Linked DNA regions of Yarrowia lipolytica. The main gene of each other region encodes a partner of the protein of the gene in region 2 in a complex. Links are inferred from orthologs where the notes say so. Each region holds a gene or a part of one and is shown on either strand. Other genes may lie near its edges.

Region 1 (9,655 bases), about 620 kb from region 2:
GTGACCCATGCAATGAGCCGGTTGAAGTAGAAAATGACAAACAGCGACACCAGCAGGATCATGATCACGTCCATGAGAAAGACGGGCGAGAAGTCCACACCGCCAGAAATGGCTTCCGGTTGGAAGCGCGAAGACGAGTCCCTGAGTTAGTATCATGTGAAACCGAGGAGGGGGTTTCGTAGTAGTTGCCAAATGAACATTTGGTATGTTCCAGATCAAGGGTCATGTTTGAACTTCAGTAACCCCAACACCTGTACCTGAGCAAGTAGAAGGCCGCTAGACCGCTTAATCGTAACCCCGCCAATGGAACACTGAGCTCCAAACACCCAATATCCCAGACACACATGGCGTCCACTCATACCATGACGATCTCGTCGTAGACCCCCAAAAGAGAAAACAATCTGCCACAACCTCCATAGATTACTCACATTTTGTGTAACGAACGCCGTCTGTCACTGGTTTATAGACGTTGTTGGCCGTTCAAAAATGCCTGGTCTGTTGTGTATCTGTCGTACAAGTAGCCTTAGTCTGAGTTAGCAGGAAACCAAGAACAGAGCCAGAGCCAGACCAGCCCCGCTCACGACAAGTTCCATCCATATCACCCCTTCTCTGTCACTCTGTACTCACCTCCTCCTTGCTGGTATCCGTCTAGCCAAAAAGTGGCGTGTGAAAAGTCGTGTTTTTTGTGGTGGGCGGTTGTTGCTCGCCAGTAAAGATGTCTGAGTTAGCTCGGCCCGTGTCCGTGTCGCGTGTCACGTGACGTCCTCTTGTGTACTCACCACGACGCCTGGGCAGCTTTGCCGTATAAATAAGTTGAGCCGGGGGGTTTTGGGGTAGAGGTGTTTTGGGGGAGAGGTGTCTTAACTACGCTCTAGTTTAGAATCCCGCAGTGGTGATAATGCTTAGTTTGAAACCTTGTTTCGCGATGAATATAAAATGAATTTAAATATAAAAAATTAAATTAAATATAAGAAATGTCAAAAAAATGGGGAAAATGGGGAAAAATGGGAAAAAATGGGAAAAAATGGGAGAAAAAAGTGGAGGAGTGTTTTGGGGATGGTTGCGCGGTTGGACAAGTGTTTGATTTGTGTTTTCGATTATCAAAATTTCGATAGAAGTATTTTACTATGGTGTCAGTGGTACGATGTTGCACAGCTTATAGAGTGTGATTGTTTATCAGTTAAAAAAAGGAAAAGATCGAAGAAAAAAAAATACTGAAAAAAAATACTGAAAAAAATACTGAAAAAAATACTGAAAGAAAACCGAAGTACTTGTATACCACTGTACTTGAATCAATTCTGTATTAATGACACTTGGGAGACTGTTTTTCGCTTAACCCGTACAAGTTCGACTTCCGACTTTCTCAACATATGAGACTTGAATTGTAGGAACATGACGGAAGGTCCATGTTCAACTTCAGCCCGGCAAAGAGCACGGAACCAACAGGAAAGGAAAGTCACTCTGGAGATTGCCATTCCGGAAAAGAGAGGTACTTTTACTTGTATCTAAAGGGTTCCAATTACGAGAGACCCGACATCTGCCGCCATTGGAACATCCTTCAAGTAGGGAAGTTCGAATCAGAAGACAATGTGGGATCTGGAAGATGGGCCAAATGTGGAGTTCAAGCAGTGAAATAACAAATTCTGTTCTGACGGCCCAATCCGAGTGTATGTGTAGAAAAACTTGCCAGTTTAGTGAGAAACTTGGGAGTTTATGTGGTGAGCAATACTTGGGAGTTTAATGGAGAATTACTTGATAGTTAAATGATAGTTTAACTAGTAATTCTGAGTTTAATGAAGAAATACTTGGGAATTAAGAGATAGTTTAACTAGTAAGTGTTTCATCACCTTCCAGTTACCACTCTTACCTCGAACAGCAAACCGCAGTCTCTTAGATGATCAAGAGAGGCGGTCTAGATTCGAATCGATATACCGACTGCAAGACCCATGTGCGATGGCACCTGTTTGAGACCGTACCGGCAATTTACCCCGTACTGTACTTGTACTCTACGTTAATATCTATCAATTAATTATAAGCATCTCATCCTCCATAACAAACCATTTTCTAACCCCGACTAAGGATCAATGTTGTACTTCATCTTAATACCCATGGCCGACAGCTCCGAGTTGAGGTACTTGAGCACAAACGGAATGGCCACCGTGGTGGTATCATCTCCTCCCACAAAGCAGTTGCCAATGGCGTCCTGCCACATGCCCTCAGGAGGCGAGTCCCAAGAGAAGGAGTCCTTTTCGAGCTGGGTGGCACATCGTCGACACTTGACGCCTCGTCGATGACCGGTGGTGCTTTGGGCCTCCTGGGTAGCAGTGAGAGAGCCACATGTTCGACACATGCTGGTCTGGGTGTAATCGGAACAGTTGAGCAGACGGTCCTGTAGCAAGTATGAAGTTCCGTGGCCAATGAGCGCGTCTCGCTCCATTTCTCCGACTCGAATACCTCCAGATCGCTTTCGACCCTTAACGGGCTGCATGGTCAACGGGTTGACCGGTCCGGTGGATCGCACCTGGAACTTATCGTTGACCATGTGACGCAGTCGCTGGTAGAAAACCACGCCGACGTAGATATCACATCTCAACTCCTGACCGGTGACTCCAGAGTACATGGGCTCGTTTCCGTGGTAGTTGTAGCCGGCCTTGAGCAGCTGCTCTCCAAAGTACTCAGCGGCGGTGTTGGTCTCGGAAAACTGCCAGGGAGTAGCATCCTGAGCCATTCCGTGCAGAGCTCCGGACTTTGCCGCCAGAGACTCGACAAACATACCAATGGTCATTCGCGAGGGGAAAGCGTGGGGGTTGATGATAACGTCAGGCTGGATGCCGGACTCGCTGAAGGGCATGTCGTAGGTGGGCCACTTTTGCGAACACACACCCTTCTGTCCGTGTCGAGACGAGAACTTGTCTCCAATGACGGGCGATCGGGGGATTCGCAGCTTGACGGTGATCTTCTGAAGCTCACCGAGGGAGTCATCACCCAGCAGCTTCACCTCCTCCACAAATCCAGTCTCACCAGACTTGTACTTGAGGCACATGGTCTTGTTGGAGTTGGAGTCGTAGTAGGCGGCAATGGGATCACCGTTAGACAGCTTGGCGCCCACCAGAGGAAGACCATCAACGTCCAGAGTCTGAGTCCACTCTCTGGGCCAGTTGTCGGGGCCAAAACCAAAGTGCAGAAGAGTAGGGTCGCCGGGTTTTTGCTTCTCGGTGAGATCCACCTTTTCGGTCTTGTAAATGGTTCCGTGGCCAAATCCTCGCTCGTGTGCAGACTTGTTGATAATCATGGCATCGTCCATATCGTATCCCGTGTAGGAAATAACGGCGACAACCGCGTTCATTCCGTTGGGGAAGTTGTCCAAACCGTACTCATCAAACAGGCCGGCTCGCACAATGGGCGATTGCCCGGTCTGGAGTCGGTACATCTTGTTATCACTTCGGTGAGTCAGGACACCGGGAGTGCCCATGGCCTGCTTACCCATCTGGCACTGGTACATGTTTCGGGGCGACTGGTTGAAGTCTGAGAAGGGAGTCATGTTGGCCAGAATCGACAGAATGTTGGTGGGCGAGTACTCGACATGGGAATGCACGTTGGTGATCTCGTCAGGGGTGACGGCCACGTTGAGGTAAACCTGCTCAAAGGGACCGACAATGTCCTCCTTCTCAGTTGCCAGATGCTTGACGGGTCGCATGAACCGAGAGGCCTCGGCAAACAGATACAGACCGGGATACTGACCTCCTCGAGAGGGAGGCACCAGACCGACCTCGAGATCCTGGGGCAGTCGGGCGTCTCCGGTCACCTTCCACTGTCGAATGGTGTTGGCGGCCTGCTGGGCAATCTCGTGAGTACACCATCCGATAATCTTTCCGTCGAGCATGACGACAGACTTTTGGGGGGTGTTGGCCAGGGCTCCTGCGGGAGAGATTCCGAGCTGGTTGAGCACAGAGTCAATGTCTCCCACGTCGCTCTTCTTGACGGAAATCAGACACTTGTGTGCCAAATGGTTCAGAAGACCACAGGGCGAACCATCAGGGGTATGAACGGGACACAGGAAGCCCCAGGACTCGGGCAGCAGCTTTCGCACGTCAGTGGTTTTGAGCTCGGCGAAGAAAGAACCTCTATGGATCATTCGGAAATGGGCAATGAATCGGTGGAAGTTAATCTTCTCGACGATGACGGTGTAACCGGTGGTCTGCTGCAGATCCAGACCCGTGTGAGACACCAGGTTTCCGGTGGACAGGAAGTAATGCAGTTTTCGGCCAATGTCCTCGTTAATTCGCGGGCAGATTCGCTGCATGATTTTGGGGTCATCCAAATGCAAGGATTGCTTCTTCTTCTGCAACTCGGTTCGCACCGTGGCGCAAAAGTTGCTCAGGTACTCCTCCATTCGCTCCTTGATGATCATGCCGTAGAGGAAGCCGCCGAGCAAAACCTCCTGATGCTGGACGGCATCGGGGTTGTCGGGGGAGCACTCAGACGCGACCAGGGCGTACAGTTTTCGGATCATGAACAGAAGCATTCGGAACTTGTCAGTGTTGTCCTGCAGGTGGACCAGAATGACCCGCTTGAGCATGAGTCGGCCGACATCTTCGTTGGACATGTCCTTAGGGGCGTCCATGACGATTCGGAACTTTTCTCCCAGGAACGCCAGGTTCTCCTGCTTGGAGGTCAGCTTGTAGGACTTGTAGTTTCGCAGCAGCAGTTCCAGACGGTCGGTCAGGAACGAGTTGGAGCCCTCGGAGGCGACAATGCCGTCAAAGATTTCTCGGTCGTTGGTTTCCACCAGAGCCTTGAGAATCATCATGACGGGCACCAGATACTCGTTCTTTCGCCACGAAAATCGCATTGTGATTCCTCCGTCGGACAGGTAATGCAGCACGTTGGTTTGGGACGACTGGTCGGGTCGCACCGATCGGATCTGGACTCCGAACGTGGTGTAGTTGCTTCCACGCTTGGTGAAACTCTTTCGAATGATGGCCAGGGGGTGGTTTCGTCGCTGGACAATCAGCAGACGGATGAGCTTCTCCAGACCGTTGATGACAAAGTATCCTCCCTGCTCCTCGCTCTCCTCCTTGTGGGCCACCATATCCTTGGGACCCATGCCTTCCAAATGACACCGGTTGGAGCCCATCATGATGGGGATCATACCAACATCTCTGCTTTCAAACTTCTCGGGGCCACCGTTGACCGAGTAGCCCAGAGTCAGCACCATACGGGCTCGGTAGGTGGCCATTCGCTCACGGCACTCGCTGGGAAACACCTTTCGGTTGATGGTGGTCTTGTCATTGGCAGACACCGTGGGTCGGCCCAGTTGCACGTTGGCAACCCGGATCGCCAGCCGATTGCCCAGATTCTCGTCGTCTCCGTCAAACACCACCCGCTCGCCAACCTCCTTGGCCGCCAGGTTGAGCAGAGAGTCCATGCCTCCCTCCGTCAGCGCGTTGAACGACCCGATGTGGGGCGCCACGGCGTCTCTGAGTAGCGGGTACTTTTGCTCATCTGGCGGGTTAGCAAAATACTCCTCGCGCTCCAGCGTGTGGAACGACGCCTTTTTCGTTTCACTCATCTTGTTGTGGTAGTAGTGGTGGGAGGAAAAAATTGGACATGTGCAGTGAAATAAAATCTTTTGAAAAGTTTATCCACCGTGCGTCCCAGATGCACGGGGTTGGAGTCTCGGTTGGGGCTGGAAAGACCCGAAGAGGAGGGAAATCGGGAAATACAACGTTAGTTCTGGAGTCATAATTGCATTGCCAAAAGAATGCACTTTTCAGAATCGCGATACCGGCTTTAGTTGGCCCATTCGTCGCACATCTCCAAAGCTACAAAAAAAGTGAAAAACTCAAATCTTAGCCGAGTTTCTCCACTGGTGGCGAAAGAAGTTGTCAATGAGACTTGGGGGCGCTTTTAGACCGACAATGAAGACATAATCTGCAAAAGAAGATGGATATGAGTAGGATGACATCTTTTGAATCATCAAATAATGTCTCCAATTACCCATTTGAGACTCCCCCAACTCCAACGTCTATGAAACTCAAAATGGTGAAATGTGCGCTTGAAAAAGGACGGTGTGTGGGTGAATAGTGAACAGATTTGATTTTTGAAAGTAGAACCAGGATCGGAATGTCTGGAGGAGCATCCTGATATCTTTGCTCTCATCATTATGTTACTCCTAACGTCTGCTCTGGCCAGAATCAGTTGCAAAGTCACCCAACTGGAAGTCAAACGTCTCCGTTGGGGCGAATCAAGGCGGATATTGCAATGAAATGTCTCCTTCGGTGTTGACATGTTTTGTGACAGTTGATATGCTTTGTGGCAGTTGTTATGAATGATTTTTGATCGCGGGTCGACCTTCCAACCACTAGCTGAGGGATAAATCACTCACTCATCTGAAGTTGGTCAACCTGATGACGTGCTCAGTGCGAAGATTCTCCTGATGAGTCTCCCTAGTCGAGAGAAGAGTCTGGTCATTGGAGGGCCTCCCAGAAGAACCCGGCAGAACGCAACCTATCTGATTGTCAGAGTGTCCAAAACCTCAAATGTGTATCATCTAGGCCATATTCCAAGTGATAGAACAGTGTAATCCCTTCTGACGTTTGGAGGACTGTAGGTCTCCAGAAACTGACTCCAAAGGAAGATGGCCGTTGGTATCCATACGGTGCATGTCGGATCCTCAAGGACAGTTGGAAAAGCTCCGTTAAGACTGTTCCGTAACCGTCGCAAAGGTCATCTTTTCACCCTGAGTCAAGGGAAACTTCTCCAGCCGAACCCTTGGAGTTTTGACCTGAAGTCTCGACAGATCCATGAATCATCTGGTCAGATCCATTGACTCATCTGACATCTGGTAGATACCTCTCAATGGCCTTGTTACCAGGCACAAACCTCACGAAACGTAGTTAGAGTCCTTGAGTTCAATGTCAAGTCTCCTCGGATCGCCTACGTGACATCCGCGCAACCATTTTGATATCATGAACGGTAAAAAAGCTGCTTCGCATACTCAGAGCGTCCTTCCCTCGCGATGGTGGAGACGCAACTCAAATCTGCATGGGATATGCAGATGAAAATAAATCTTGGAAATTTTGATCATCGCAGAACCACGCGAAAATGGCGAAAAGCAGGTGAGTTGGAGCCAAGGACGACATCCAGAGATGGAAAAATCATACAAACAGACCTGCCGCCGGTTAAATGGAAGTACCATGATGCTCGAGGGAAGGAGGGTGTGAGATGGAGCAGTCGCGACCGATCAGGATAGGTCTGGGAACTGCTGCGTGGAGTGACAACGCCACGTCAAGAGCAGGGCCAGGAGGGGAAATCACATGATCTTTTTGCTGATCTTACTCTATGACATATTATCACTCACCCGGTCCCCCTACGTTTGGAATAACGCGATTGAACAGAACGATTCTCTATCTCAAACCCAGCTTCCCCAAAGAATGTGATTACGATGTTATCACGTGATGCAGTGACGATGGAAACATTTCCTGTATCATCCTGTCATTCTCTCGATACCACTGTTGCTTTTCATAGCGTAATCGCTCGTCTATTCAGGCACCATTATGGATGTTACCACCCACGCATGGAACATCACTTGATTCTCTCCTCAGATATCACGTGATCCAAACCCCTTCGACGCGCTAACACAGATACGAATACGTGAAAAACTTTGAGCAGGAAAACCATCTTCTTCCCGACTGTCATATCGTGGTTCGAGTTGATGGTCGAGGGTTTCACAAGTTTTCAAAGTTCTACAATTTTGAGAAGCCCAACGATCTCAGAGCCATTGAGTTGATGAACAAATGCGCCGAGCTGATTGTGTCTCAATTTGATGATGTTATTATGGCTTATGGCGACTCCGACGAGTATTCTTTTCTGCTGAGGAGAAAGTGTTCTCTGTTTGAGAGAAGAGAGAGTAAACTGGTTAGTACCTTTGCTAGCACGTTTACGAGTTATTATGTCGCATTGTGGGGGAGGTATTTCAACGGAAATGAGTCACGTGATGAGACACGTGAGACGACTGAGGAGCTGAAGGAGGAGGAGAGGAAGGAGGAGGAGCGGAAGGAGGAGGAAAGGAAGGAGGAGGAGAGAAAAGCAGTCAAGTCTGAACCACGTGACGACTCACGTGACTCTCGCTCAAACGAACTTGTGATTCACATGCTTCCTACTTTTGACGCTCGATGTGTCGTCTATCCAAACGCGCAATCTATCCGAGACTACTTTTCGTGGAGACAGGTGGATTGCCATATCAACAACTTGTACAATACGACATTCTGGACGTTGGTTCAGCAGGGAAATATGACTACGCAGGAGGCTGAGCAGCGGCTTAGCAAGACCGTCAGCAAGGACAAGCATGAGCTGTTGTTCACCGAGTTTGGACTCAACTACAACAACGAACCGGACGTGTTCAAAAAGGGAACGACCATTGTGAAGGAGTTTGACACTACGGGGCTCAGTCAGCGGCAGGTGGAGCGCAAGATGAAGAAGATGGGGAGGGTGAGGGTGATGCATTGTGATATTATTCGAGACGGATGGTGGGATGAGAGGAAGTGGATTTTGGAGTAACCCATGACGACTGGGGTTGAGAGAGTCACGTGAACATATTCCAACGACAAGAATCGTCACGTGTGTTTAATGCTTGTCTCAATGTGATGTACGAAAAGGCTCGTCGATGATATTGTTGATTCCATGACTTCAATCCAAGTCTTGTGGGTTCTCTCGTCTAGTCCCATCATTGGTATGAATGTCGGATGAAGAGAGGGACCAAGTAGAACAACCGAAGGGATTAAGAATCATTAGAGGAATGTGACGAATGAGGAGATTGAAGAAACAAGCAGATGCAATAGGTACTGTACTTGTGCAGTGCTGTCTTGGAGAAGTACAAGGTCTAAAGGTGTTGGTTGTGCATCCATGGTTGAAATACTGGCAGTATCAGATCTGGGTCCGATGGGCCGTTGACTTCGCAGTTAGATGTTTGTAGATGTGTTTGATGTTGTCTAAACCCACGAATACACCATAGATTCGGACTGGCGAAGGTTTTTCTAGGTGCGGGCGTCTCGGGGAATGCTCTCGTACCAAATTCGAACCGGTGAGCCGATTATTCAGCGCACCAGAAGGTTGCGATATTGGGCGACAGTGCTCAACCCGGGTCAGAAGGTCCAAGTTGACGAGTTTGGGTCGTATTGGCAATCTGACAAATCCCAAAGATTCAGCTCGTGCAATTGAGCAAATTCCACTTTTCAGAGTCTCTAAATCTCCTCTCCTTCGTCCAGCAGCGGCTCTTCTGCTTCCCTGGCGTTTGTAGATATGAGTCTAACATCACAACAACCAACTTAGACTCTTACTCACCACTTTTTCTCAACAATGATTCGGGCCAAGTTCACCGAGTACAAACAGGCTCTGCGAAACAACTGGGTGGGCCAACCGCAGTACACTGAGAAGGACTACCCGGATATTGACGGCAAGAATTTTGTCGTCACTGGCGCCACCGGAGGAGTGGGTCTGGAGGTGACCAAGCTGTTGCTGGACAAAAAGAGCCACGTGATCATGGTTGGCCGGTCCAGAAGCGATTGGCAGCCCGTCCTGGACCAGCTCCAGAAGGACCACTCGCACGGCACGTTGGATTTCGTGGAGGCCGATCTGGCAGACTTGACCACAG
Region 2 (7,207 bases):
CTGCAATGACCGTCCACATCAACGGTGAGAACCAGCGAAACGAAGCCAAGGCGAAGTACGAGGCGATCCAGAAGAAAACTACACCCAAGGCCATTGAGAAGCTGCCCACACCCCGAACTTCACATTACAACAGTACTGCTCTCAGAGAGTACTTCACAAACGGAACCGGAGAGGCCGAACAGATCCAGCACGCCGAGGACATGCTGCTGTTTCTGGAGAACCAGCGAGTTTACAAGGACCTGCTGGCCCGATACAACCCTGGAGTGGATATGGCCGATCAGGAGAGAGTGCGACTTTCTGCCCGAAGAGTCGGACTGGAAGTGCCCGTTGGAAAGAAGGACTTTGAGGATTAATTGTATATAGCGTAGTAATGAGTAACGAGTCTAGACGACGAATTATTTGTACGAGTATACTACAGTGCTGATAATACATGAGGTTTCTCTGCAACCGCCTACTTGTAGTAATGACGATAAACACATGAATTTGATACACAAGGTGGTACTTGTGCATTGCAGTCTCATTCATTTGTGCATTTAATAAATAAATATCATCGTCTAGTCACATCTTCTCTTAGGCGGACTCGTAATGTCCACCGGCTACCATTGTAGCAATGAGACAGCCCCCGCTGTTAACAATTCATTTCCTCCCACTGGTCCCTTTGATAACTTCCTGGCGAGCTCTAACAGCAGACCAGAAACTGCCGTAGCTCCATGTCAGCTTCTCAGCTCCTTGCATGAACCCATCGTATCTATTGAATTGCTCCGACATATCTCCATTGTTAGCCTGATGCTCTCTGATGACATCCAAGAACGAGTCACCGAGGTCAACGAGACGGTCCAACAGATGCTGATACTCTTCGGAGTCTCTAGCAATGCGGTCAGAAGACACAAACGTACCATAAAACTCCTTGGTGAGACTATTGATCTCAAGAACAAAATCAGACGACTGCTGGGCCAAGTGGTGAGCAATGAAGAATATGGTCTCTGCAATGGTAGCGGTACAGATGAACCAAGGATTGCCATGAGAGGTTCCCACTCCATCGTAGACGTCCTCAGCATAACGACCAACACCAACGGCGACGTACCCAGGATTTTCATCCTGGAAAGACTCCTCGAACTCAGCTAATCGTTGATGATTAATAGGGTAGTCGAAGGAGTGCACATAAGGCATGATAGTAGCAATGAGAAGATCGTCGTAGGGCTTGAGAGATGTACCTGCAGCTATGCTAGACTCCCATCTAACCGAGTCAAGAGCGGCCAAGAATATGGAGGAATCAAGGCCCGACCTTCCAAAACTTCTGGGCTCAAATTGTGCATTCAGCCGAGAACCAGCCTCGAAATGTGTCTTGATGAATTGTCGAATCGATCCAGCAGTGAATGTACATCTGCTTTCGGTCTCTCGATCTGAGTAATGTCTTGCAAGTTCCACGACGTTAATGAGAGCGTTGAACTGCACTTGAGAAGTGAAGAGATGGTAGCCCTCCAGTTCCTCCCAGAGATCAAAAGTCGGCTGATCCCAATACTGTAGAATGTACTCGACATCGGGTAGGATCATAGACTTGTAGATATACACATAGTCGTCGAGAGAAGCTGTTTCATTCCACTCCACCTGGGTTTGAATATAATGCGAGATCGTTTTAATTCTGAGTGCAGGTCCATCATTCTGAGGTCTACCCCAGTGCCCTGTGAATGCTGAGCCGTCAGTCTCAAATTTAGGCTCTCCCAAACCACTAACAACACGTCTGTTCCAGTCAAAGTACCCGGAGGGATTGCTGACGTGCTGCAACATGCCTTGAGTCTCAATGTATCCCATGATGATGTTGCTGAGTGTGTCGTTCAGTATACCTTGACTAGCCTGGTCATAGAACCGCCGCACAACTGAGTCCATGGTGATGGCAGCATCCCGAGTCCATTGGTAATAGTAGTCAGGGGCCGTTTTAGAGGGACTAGCGATAACAACGCCTACGGGAAGACCGTTGTTGCTACCTTGGTGTCCCACATTGTCGAGGACAGACTCAAAGGCGTGATGAGTCTGCTGAGCGAGCCACAACTCGAATTTCTGGGCGTCAATGAGTGTCACGTTTGGTCTCGCGTATGGTGCCAGCAACAGAGGCTTCTGATCGAATAGCGGAAGCGCTAGAGACCCTGGAAGTGCTAAAACAGAAACAAACGCTTGTAGCAACATCGTCGGTATGTGTGTATGTGTGTGTGTGTGTGTGTGTGTGTGTGTGTGTGTAAGGATGAGAATAGCGCAATCAAGCCATTTATAGCAAAAGAGAGAAGGTGTAGGTACCTGCACAAGAAGAAAATCGTGCTTGTCGGAGAAAAGCAAAACTGTCACTTCTGCACCATGCGTTCGCGCTCTTGTTTTGTTGTGGTAGTATTTTTTAGCACTCACGGTTCTGCATTGAGATTTACCTCTTGCTGTGTGACCATCCTTCCGCATGACCTTGGTACGTGATAAAGTGTACCCGCTTGAGAGATGTACAAAGATGTACGGAGATATGATACGTGTGCCGGCCGCGCGTAACGTGACTATTAAGATAAGTATAATATTTTCGACTCTACAAGCACCAAAAACAGGTCACTCGTTCTAGTATTTTTTTACCACATTTCCCCAGCTTTTGCTTTCATTCTTTCATACCACTAACGTGAAGACCAAGGTTACATGTGTAGGGATATTATTGGCACTACTGTAAGAAGGACAAAGAAACCACAAGGGGGCCGATGCCCACGATGACCCTGTGGACGGAGTCCTCTTCTGGGATATGAGCTGTGTCATATGAGCTGTGTCAGGTGCTTCACGGTCCGTTGTCCTGTTATACGGAGATATGTGGGTGGGCCATGTACGGTAGAGAGGGGGTAATAGCATGTAGTAAGACACACACACAGAGAATGTCACATGACCTACGATACGAGTACGAGAACACATACATACAAGTGCAAGGTACTACTGTATTCGTACATACAAAGTCTGGTAGAGTATGTACCGGTTTGTACGAATGTGAGAGTGTACTATAAGGGGCTGAGAATAGTGGCAATGAAAGTGGGGCTGGAAACAATGAGCAGGACCATTCAGAAAAATCGGGATTACATAATACAATACAAGTACAGTACAGTACTTGTACTTGTACTGTACTGTTGCAGTAATTCATGAAGGTAGCGAGATTATTAAGCACGTACTTCATCATTTGGACGAGCCACGAGAGATATTTTATACGACAAAGACGAATTCGAGGTAGAATACTGGAACGGCGGGAATCAGTCAAGACCCGTACATGTACTGAAGTCGAACGACTTGAAAACTTGTATACACAGTAATTGTTCATAGTGGGATGTCGAGGTCCACATAAATTTCTTAATAGTGAACTCTAATTTTGTGAGGCAAAATTTATAGATAGTGTAGCCAGATCATCACAATATCAGAGGAATTGAAAATGATACAGTTGTCCAATGCTATTGTCAAATAGTTACCATTTACAATCTGCTTTCCTTGAATAAGTCCTACATCCGCAGTCTTCGCGATTCCTCTATCAGCACAATAACCTAACCCTGCAGCTCATCTGCAAAGCCTGAAAAAATCTGGTGCTCGAAAATATCTTTATTCAAACCCACGATACATACACACCAGCATGGCCAGCGACAAAAAGAGAAAGGCTTCGAGCAAGCGGCTGACGAAAATCAAGGTCGCTAAGGTTCAGGACGATGGAAAGGTGTTTCTTTCTGACTGCGGTCATTTGTCCATCCCTAAGGACGCCAAGTTCTCGTCCGTGTCTGACAATGGAGAGACCTCCATCAAGGGAAAAAGCTCCCGAATGCGATACACCAGTGTGCCTGTGGACCACGAGAAGTACTGCGTTGCCGTAATTTCCTCTAAGGGCTTGGCTGATCTGGTCCCCGCCGAAAGCATTGAGCTGAAGGCCATGTCCAAGCAACTAGCCAAGAGAGTCGCTGAGAACACCGAGCAGAAGTCCTACAGAGAACAGCGAGTCAACCTGGGTAACGAGTTTGGAACTCTCAAGGCAAAGAAGACCCTTGCCAGTTTGGCCCGAAACAACATTGATTCCAACGAGCTTGTTGACTTTGAGGACGATGTCGTGGAGGCTGTCGCTACTGCCACTGCCAACCTACCCACTCAAGAGCAGGTGTCCATGGCAATGGATGATGCCCGACCCATCCCTAAGCATAACCTCGAGACTCTGGATGTCAACGAGATCTATCCTGTTGAGGGATACCTCACCGACGAGGAGGCTGGGTACATTCGAAGCGAGGCCATTCTGGACGAGCAGGATATCGGCAAGCGAGTGGACATGCTTCCTTACCGAACCTCACAAATGGTGCGAGACAGTCTCTACAAGATCACCGACAAGACCGACGAGACCATGTACAAGACCTCTCTTCTCTATTATCTGTCTCTGCTGATTGGATTCTACCGAGATCGTCACGTCAAGAAGCGGGAGGATATCAAAACCAGACTCAACAACCCCCCAGAGTACCTCATCGACCAGATGCTCTACCGGTACACCACTCCCCTTTCTGGTGGTCACAAATCACAACGGTACCACACTTACATGGTCAACTCCAGAAATGAGGCAATGTTGCTGTGTACTATCATTATTCTTGTGCTGAGACTCAACAACAACGTTGTAGACATTCCCATTCTGTCGCAGGAGGTTGGAATCAAGCCTTCCAAGCTTGCTGACGTTTGCAGACAGGTGGGATGCGCCATTAAGAACGCCTCTCTGACTCACATGGATGATATCGGACGACCTCGAACCGAGGCTAGCCACTGGAAGATTGCCTCGCTCAAGGCTCCGCTTAAGCTACCAGAGCTTGCCCAGCGACGACGAAGAGCCAAGAAATAGACTAATGCATAGATTGATAATGGGTGGAGATTTGGATGAATCCGAGATGAAATATTCTTACAGCGAAGTAGAGAGCACTGCATCAACATTGCTCAAATTCTCACTCTGGTTGGCCATTAGGCAATGGCTCGCTTTGATCCAGTGAAAATCACAGCGGACCCCTCCAGCGACTCGACACAGCGATGTCGACAAGTCTGCTACTGACCAACAGTTACTGACGAAAAAAGTTGAATATACTCGGTATTTCCGAAAGTTTTGAGATGTACCACAATCACCACGGCACATGTAAACAAACACACAAGTAACAATTACTTGTACTGTGCGATGTCTCAACGATCCTGGTGAAAGTACACGCACATAAGAGTAGTAGATTGCTTCTAGAGCTACACGACACAATACATACTCACCTCATTAATCATTAATCTTATACATATGTGGAGCTTAGATAACCTCTTCGGCATCGCTCTCAATGTCATCTCCAAGCAGCTCGTCGTCCTCGTTGATATCAACAGGTGCGTAGTCTCTTGACCACGGTCGGTTGCTACTTCCAGAGTGGCCGAAAATGCCTCGAGCGAACTCGCCGACGCCCTTGAGAGCCTCGGGGATCATGGTGATACCTGCAACAACGTAAGCCAGGCCCTTAAGAGCCTGCTGGACGACAGGGTTGCTGGAGCTGGAGGAAAACGAGTCCTCATCGCCCAGTCGAATGACACCAAACTTGGACTGGTAGTGCTGGAAGATCATGAATCCAATGACACAAGCCATGGCAATAGGAACAATAATGACGAAGAATGTGCCGATGACACCAAGTCCACCACCATGCTTCTTGCTGAACTCGCCCTTCTTACCAGGGCAAGGAATTGCATCAGCCTTGTCGAGCTCCTGGCCACCCTTACAAGTGGACAGGGGGATTCGTCGGTAGCCGGTAGACTCGTAGTACTCAACGAGGTTGGGGTTCTCCTTGCATTGGAGGGCGTGATCAGGGGGACTGGCACCCTTGACAAGCTTACAAGTTCCGTCTCGGTCTCGGACGTAGTTGAAATCACACTCAAAGTCCTCTCGAGTGCACTCACAGTCCTGGACAACCTTGTGTGGTTGGATGAGCTGTCTGCCAATGTAGCACTTGGAGTCGACCAGCTTTCGGTAGTACTGAGTCTCGTGGCCAAACAGACAGTTGCTCTGCTGAGTGGGGTTTCTGGGAGACCACAGCTCGTAGTCATCTCGGTCAGGATTGGACTCGTCCAGCTTGCACTGTCGGTCAGAGAGGCCAGAGAAGTCAATGTGAACGGTGGTAGACTGCTCTCCCTTAGACCGGGGAGACTTACCAGTAAGCAGGAATCGTCGAGAGTTATCGTTGGGCACGGTGGAAATATCATCAACCTTGACAAGATCCTCAGAGAATCTGTAGGGGTTCCAGGTGACACCCTCATCGAGAGAGAAGAATACCTCGTTGGTGGGCTCCTCTCCGTCAACAATAACCAGAATAGAACCCTGGTCTCCGTACTCCCACATGTACGCTCCCTTTTTAATTTCCCTCCAAGTGATACCACCATCGACAGTAAGGTAAGTGTTTCCGTCGAGGTATCCCTCGAGGTACTCTCCGACGTTACCGACACCGATCATCATACCAACAGCAGAGGCAGACGTGTAAGTATCTCGGTAATCCTTTCGCTCGGTGAAGCCGTGCAAGTTAAGAGAGCACTTCTCCAGAGACTGTCCAGAACACGAGTAAGCCTTGCCTTCAGTGTCAGCGGGGGGAGGGTTCAGGTATGCCCATTGTCCACCATCGTTGTGGGTGATCATGGACTTGAGCTGCTTTCGCGAACCCCTGGAGGCCTGTCGGGCATTGATGACAATGTTGGAGACAGCCACACCCTCGAGGTTAGCCATCTTCTCAAAGTCGACAAAGCCGACTCGGTTTCGGTTAACCTCATTGAGAGAAAGCATAAACGAAGTACCGTAGGAGTTCGACTTGAGAATGGCGCCGTACTCGGAGTTGGCCTTTCCGTTGACGGTAACATGCAGGAAAATGGCGTGGGTGGTAGATTGCAGAACGGTGTAGGCCAGCTGTTTGGGGACCTTAAAGTCCGGAGGGAATCGAGCCACGGAAAAGGACTCACCGTCCACGGATGTCTGGCACTCGAGAGTCTCGTCCTCGTCATTGATGACGGCAACAACGAGGAACTCCTCAGCAAGAGCGAAATCAAGCACGTTCTCGTGGGTCACTCTTTGGTTTCGGAAGTTGTCAGTAGAATAAGCCAGTCGGGACTTCTTGACGCCACCCTCGTTGTACTCAAACAGACAGTACATGAGGTTGTTTCGCTTCTGATCCTTGAGTCCGTT

Evidence for each region. The genes of interacting proteins can lie anywhere in the genome.
Region 1: YALI1_E06068g (region 2) and YALI1_E12244g share a complex: the UniProt entries of both Schizosaccharomyces pombe proteins name them as parts of the RNA polymerase I (Pol I) complex. The link is inferred for Yarrowia lipolytica from reciprocal best matches to the Schizosaccharomyces pombe genes rpa49 and rpa2.

Annotation. Positions count from the first base shown.
Region 1 is NC_090774.1:1,220,302-1,229,956, reverse strand, and holds YALI1_E12244g (uncharacterized protein), read right to left. Parts: upstream 5,573-9,655; coding exon 2,075-5,572; downstream 1-2,074. Other genes in the region: YALI1_E12295g (uncharacterized protein), read right to left, coding at 1-141, 362-417; YALI1_E12223g (uncharacterized protein), read left to right, coding at 7,108-7,121, 7,647-8,562; YALI1_E12211g (uncharacterized protein), read left to right, coding at 8,686-8,742, 8,797-8,955; YALI1_E12206g (uncharacterized protein), read left to right, coding at 9,361-9,655. UniProt on the Schizosaccharomyces pombe protein: DNA-dependent RNA polymerase catalyzes the transcription of DNA into RNA using the four ribonucleoside triphosphates as substrates. Second largest core component of RNA polymerase I which synthesizes ribosomal RNA precursors.
Region 2 is NC_090774.1:603,211-610,417, forward strand, and holds YALI1_E06068g (uncharacterized protein), read left to right. Parts: upstream 1-3,631; coding exon 3,632-4,864; downstream 4,865-7,207. Other genes in the region: YALI1_E06031g (uncharacterized protein), read left to right, coding at 1-353; YALI1_E06056g (uncharacterized protein), read right to left, coding at 637-2,445; YALI1_E06065g (uncharacterized protein), read right to left, coding at 2,819-3,328; YALI1_E06109g (uncharacterized protein), read right to left, coding at 5,306-7,207. UniProt on the Schizosaccharomyces pombe protein: DNA-dependent RNA polymerase catalyzes the transcription of DNA into RNA using the four ribonucleoside triphosphates as substrates. Component of RNA polymerase I which synthesizes ribosomal RNA precursors.